Oryzias latipes: one gene and its partner. The protein of the gene in region 1 interacts with the protein of each later gene in a pairwise test. Links are inferred from orthologs where the notes say so. Each region holds a gene or a part of one and is shown on either strand. Other genes may lie near its edges.

What was found.
Region 2: the proteins of klhl2 (region 1) and tma16 interact in binary tests that used the Homo sapiens proteins (3 or more experiments, as listed by UniProt). The two-hybrid records come from large-scale screens. The link is inferred for Oryzias latipes from reciprocal best matches to the Homo sapiens genes KLHL2 and TMA16.

What each region holds. Positions count from the first base shown.
Region 1 is NC_019859.2:19,769,436-19,773,097, forward strand, and holds part of klhl2 (kelch-like protein 2), read left to right. Parts: intron 1-1,906; coding exon 1,907-2,069; intron 2,070-2,444; coding exon 2,445-2,554; intron 2,555-2,633; coding exon 2,634-2,750; intron 2,751-3,662. UniProt on the Homo sapiens protein: Substrate-specific adapter of a BCR (BTB-CUL3-RBX1) E3 ubiquitin ligase complex that mediates the ubiquitination of target proteins, such as NPTXR, WNK1, WNK3 and WNK4, leading most often to their proteasomal degradation.
Region 2 is NC_019859.2:19,507,500-19,509,859, reverse strand, and holds the end of tma16 (translation machinery-associated protein 16), read right to left. Parts: intron 990-2,360; coding exon 818-989; 3' UTR 593-817; downstream 1-592. UniProt on the Homo sapiens protein: Involved in the biogenesis of the 60S ribosomal subunit in the nucleus.

The DNA.
Region 1 (3,662 bases):
ACCTGTGCAGCCTGAGCTGAGATGTCACACAGCCAGTGGCACGCAGTAATCTGTTCAGAAGGAAGCAGATGTAAAAAGTATGAAACTACACACAAGACACATGCAGAGTAGCCAATGTTTAAAAGCTGAACAACCGTTGTGACAAAACTTTATTTTGTTTTCTTCTATTTTGTAAACTATATCACTAGCTGTGTTACTACATATAAAAAAAAGATAGTTTAGTTAAGAAGTGAATTCCAATCCTTGACTCTACCTCTGTTTTCCTACAAGGCTAAAGGGTACGTGTAGAAATTAGGGGTGTGTACCTTTCCCTCTCACATGATTTGATACATGGTCCATGAATCGATACATAAATGATTCAACTAACCTAGTGGCATCAAAATACAGTCTATTTCTTTTACCTTAATGGATACAATCCAAATATTTACTACTCATTTGGTGTTTAAAGCTATAAATGACAATGTCTTTTAACAGACATGTCTTTTTTTTCTAACTGGCACTTTTATTAAGCAACAACAGAAATAACTACCTTAAACATAAATATCTGGCATTTGAGGATTGTTTAACTGTTTTCTGGTTTTAAAATAGGTGTCAGGGGTTATGCTATGTTTAATGTAGTTCAGCCAATTGTAACTGACCCAAGCAAGCTTGTGATTGGATGTCTTTCTTTTTCTCACATCACCTGCACATACAAAAACAAAGGCAAAGACAGTAGACATAGCAGGAAAAGAAATGCACTATAATTGCTAAAAATTAGTTGTTCGCTTTCCGATAGATTTTTGTAATACTTTTTACTAGAGATGTGACAATTCTCCGTTTAAAAACTGAACTATATGTTACTCTATTGAACTGAATCGTGGCAAAGTGTTTCATTGCATCCCTACTACATACCAGGATTTTTACACTGAAAGTCAAACACGTGTGTATTATTGTTTATTTGATAACATTACACCAGGCTTAGACAGCTGAAATCTTTTTTTTTATTGTTACTGTCTTATTTTAGAAGTAAAAACTGAAATTTTTGAATTTGTTGTTTTTTTTTGTTGATGTTTTGTTATACACAGATCATATATTGAACCTAAACAACACCGTGACTAAAAAATCTATGTTTGAACTGAATCAGGGAGACAGCGAATTGTTGCATTCCTGCTTTTTATAAATATAATCTCATTGGTATCTGTGCATTTTTCCAAATGGACATGTTAATCTTTACATCCCATAGTAGAAATGCAAGCACTGCGATAGCTATGATCTCAGTAAAATCTTTTGGAAACTACTGTGGTTGGTGCATAAAATAATAAATAAATAAAAAAAAGTTATGGCCTAGATTAAGGATGGGCAACTTCAGGCCTCGAATGCCACATTCTTGCATGTTTTCCAACATTCTCTGCTCTGGCATTTTCTATTTGGCTGGACACACCCGAACCAGGTAATAAGTCAGGTGTTGGGCTTGGATATCTGGAAATCATACAGACACAGCGGCCCTCAGGGCCTGGAGTTGGCTATCCCTGTTCTAGAATATAATATTTAAAGAATTAAGTATGTGCACAAATTATTTGATATGAACAATTATCTTAAAAAAAGATTAGTGCATTGTTTTTATAATGTGAAGTCCTCTCAGACGGACATTGAACACTTATAACACAAATATAACCCATACAATGGGTTTCTTGACTAAAAAACATCCACTTTTGCATGACTTAATATTCTATGTTAAGAGCATTGATAAAGAGTTATCGCTTTATCTAAATCAACATTCGAAAGACACTCCTCTTTCCTGATGTAAAGCTTGGGCCAAAATGCAGAATTGGATTCACCTATAGTCACTTTTAGAGTGGTTGCTCGATTGACGTAACAGATGTAACCGAACTGTGTTCAGACCTTGTGTTGCTTTGCTGTTTTCCAGGCGCTGCTGCCTGCAGCAGGGCTGCTCCAGCTCAATGAGGTGAAAAAGGCTTGCTGTGAGTTCCTGGGCGCTCAGCTTCATCCATCCAACTGTCTGGGGATTCGCGCTTTCGCTGACTTACACGCCTGCTCCCAACTGCTTGTGCAGGCTAACAGCTATGCAGGTTCTTGTGGCTTTAAAAGTCCGTTCACACACATATGTTTTTAGGATCTAAAATCACACCTAGAATGATCCAATAATGCCTATGATCTCAATCGTAACGTATTACCTTTACATATAAGACGTCTTTGCCACTTGTTGTTTAGGGTTACATCAGAGTCGTGTACTTTTCCAGTTTTTTGTAGGTCATTGTCATGCAGTGCAGTGATACTCACTTTATTGAAGCGAGTTTATGGGAGTCCAGAAGAATTTGGAACAAAAGAGGGGACAGAATGAGGACGGGTGTAATTAATGGCCCGTTGGAGAGAAGCAAACTTCTTGCATGTTTTGTCTGCTGCCACAGAAAGAGGCTGTAAAACTTTTGTCTTTGTGATGACAGAGCAACACTTCACTGAGGTGGTTGGAAGTGAGGAGTTTCTCAATTTGGGCATGGAGCAAGTGTCCAGCCTGATTGCAAGTGACAAGCTGACGATCCCCACTGAAGAGAAGGTATACATTTGTCTCGATGGCCATCCACGATAGGGCTCTCAGGTTATTGTTCAGATTTACAGATGTATCTTGTAAACAGGTGTTTGAGGCAGTGATTGCTTGGGTCAACCATGACAAAGATGTCCGCCAGGAACACTTGGCTTACCTAATGGAGCATGTTCGCCTGCCACTCCTCTCCAGAGAATACCTGGTGCAGGTATGTATTCCTGCTGTCGGTCTTTTCCTACCTTTGTCTCGTGTCTTTTTCTGTACATTTTGAACCATTGACTATATAATGAAACTGGACAAGTTGTGTGTGAGACGTCACCCTTGCCTCTAGTTCCAACCGTTGACTGTAGAAACGATGGTCAGCTCAACCCCTCCCTTCTCGTGTTCCCAAATAGGAAGTAACATTGCTTTCTAATACGAGTGCCGCCATGTTGAAACCTGTCATCGTATCTATGACAACTACTGTCGCCATTGCCATAGATACGATGGCTCAGAGCGACTCTGACTAATCACTGTCGACTGGTTTTTACGGGCCTGTGTCAGGAAGGAATGGTGAGGGTTTTTGCCTCATTTCGCGAGAGCTGGAGGTAAAGTTCCAACCAAATGAAATCAATTTAGTTTCCATTTTTCTGCAATATGTCCATCGCCAAGTTGGAACCAGACATCCTCAGTACTCCATGATTGGTCTGTCTACATTTCTGTGGCAACCACTCTCTCCAATCAGGAGTGAGCACCCCTACACCTGAAAGTGGGCACTGTAGAATCTGTCAATCAAATGCTTTGAATGTTCAACGTGAGGCCACCTAATTTTATTAAGGCATCTGATTGGTCAATTTATAACTTGAATAACTTGCGCTACAGCAAAAATATAGTGGAAAAAAAAATCAGGATTCGCAAGAACATATTGATAAACGGTATTAGAGCAAGAATGGTTATTCTGAAGAACATTATGAATGACTAATAGCTATTTATTTCTCAATAGAGGTCTATGGGATTTTTGCTTTTTTGGACCAGCGGTTACCCCTTATTTGGAACGCAAGGGAGGAGGGGTCACTCAGTCCAGTTCTCATTTACTGTCAATGATTTGAACAACAAGGGGTGTTTTGTAGGGGTGTAACAA
Region 2 (2,360 bases), about 260 kb from region 1:
TCATCTAAGATAGCACAAGGGTTAATCCAAACCCTCTTTTCTTTTTGACCACTATTATTTTATCTTATAACCAGCAGATACTGAATGTTCAAAGAAGAATAACAGCTGAAACACGTAAAATGCATTTGGATGAGTCATCAGTCCCACTAAAGCTTTCTGTTGATGCAGAAAAAAAAAAAGAGGATCAGAGTTTGTTGTGACCCTCGTTCCAGAGCCTCTGCTGAAATCTGAATTGCACTTTGAAGCATACTGGGGCCTTAACATTAGCTCTGGACAATCAGGACACCAGACACCAAAGAGTCAGAGTTCACAAGTACAGAAACAGGTATTCAAAAATAAATTGTAATTCCGTCTGAAGTATAAAAATCTAATGTTTCAAATATATATATATACATATATATTATTGCCATAGGAATGTGTTAAATGTTAAAATCGAACCTCAAGTAGCTGTTTTGATTGGAGCTGTGTGTTCTCGTTCACTGGAGATCAGTTCTTCATGCATTTGTGTCACTAGAAATGTTATTGTTGCCATCAGTTTGTAACTTGGATTAAAGCTGTTTGGTCACACTGCACTGAAATAGACCACAGTTCATCCACTTTTCTACAGCTTTATTTATTCACTTTGACGTTTCACATGATTCTCTGGGTGTAACGCCCATTTTTGTCTGTGCAATAAAGACTGAATGTAGAACCCCGAGTGAGGCTGCTGTGGTGACGTCGTTCAGTCGAACACAGCTCAGCATGGTCAGGTGCTTCACAGGAGTCCTTTATTTTAAGGCCAGTTTGGTGGCAGTTCCACAAAAGCCTCATTGCAGTCTCAGTGGGAGTCGGACATCTGCGCTGACTCATCTTCATAACTGCAATCATCCTTATCTTCTTTATGTTCCTCTTCTACATCCTCCTTTCCTTCATTCTTTGTGCCCAGCCCTTTATTCGACACCTTTCGCAGTTTAATGTTTGGAAGTTTTCTCAGATCCCCGGTCCATTCTCTGCCATGAAAGAAAAACAGAAATCGACAAAAATATCTCATTTTAAGCTGCAGAACATACAAAACAAAACACATCAGAAACGCAGACTTTAGAGTTGCAAAAGTCTCAAATGAGGGAGAACCTTATGAAACCACAAGCAGATTTTTACACAACATGACATCCTTTCTTGCAGTAAGACATTTCTTAAGCATGGTGTCCAGAAATCTCATTTAAGCAAATGTAATCCCCTTATTTTAAGAGGTCTAACGATTCTAAGAATGTTCCTTTAGACCAACCAAAGAGCAACCTGTTTATTTATATCAATGTTCAAAGCATCACTAATAAATACATGATTCTACTTTATGAATGGATTTTAAAGGGGAAAAATTTACAAAATAGAAGATTTTTATGGTACTTCTTTAAGATTGGGAGTTGGGTCATCTAGACCCACTAGACAGTGCTCTGAACCTTTTTTCTTCACTGATTTGTGATCTTCACTGGTGTCCATGGATTACATGAAATCTTTCCACCTCTATCCACCTTTGTCATGTTAGGAATAACAAGGAATAACATGTAAGGGTGGGGTCATTTGGTAAATTTTTGCTCGCAACAATGTTAGTTTAAGATGTGCAAACTCTGACATGAATGTTCAGGACAAAAAAGCACCTTATTTATTCACTGTCTCAAATTTGATCCACATATTATTGACATGGTATTGACATTGTTAGAAAGAATTTACTGTCAACAAAATTTGCATTTATTTAATTCAGCGAGTAGTCATTTTAGAAATGAATAACAATAAAGGAGCTATTCTGACCATGAAGTATAGAAAAATTAGCTAAACTTTTCCAACCAACAAGGTTTTTGAGATTTCACTGAAGCAGCCATTTTGAAATTCCACTACTGCCCCTAGTGGAATGTTGTTGAACTTCAGGGCAGAAAACATTTTTGAAGTTGCATACAATAGGTTTTAAAGACCCACTCCAATGAAAATAGTGTTTTGGGGGATTTTAACATGTTCTTGTAGAATTCTTTTCACGAGGAGGACATTTATTTAAGATTTCTGAGTACTTATTCAAATCAGAATGACCCAGGAGCAGACTATAAAATCCAGTTTGAAAAGGCTTTCTTTTGTGACACAACTGAAATGGATGGGCCAAAGTCTCCCTGCTCAGTTTCGTTCTGATGCATCCACTTTCAGACAAATAGATCCATTAACGTCTTCATTTTCCTCGTCTGAGCTGGCATCTGGCTCAAAACTCTACAGCTGGATAGCTCCAATGTTGCTCGCCATTTTTGTAGCGCCGGTAATATACGGTTGGGGTTGTGAGGGGGTGTAAGCTAGCGTGAGAGAGTGTAAATAAAGGCATGGTGGGATATCAACCATACCTC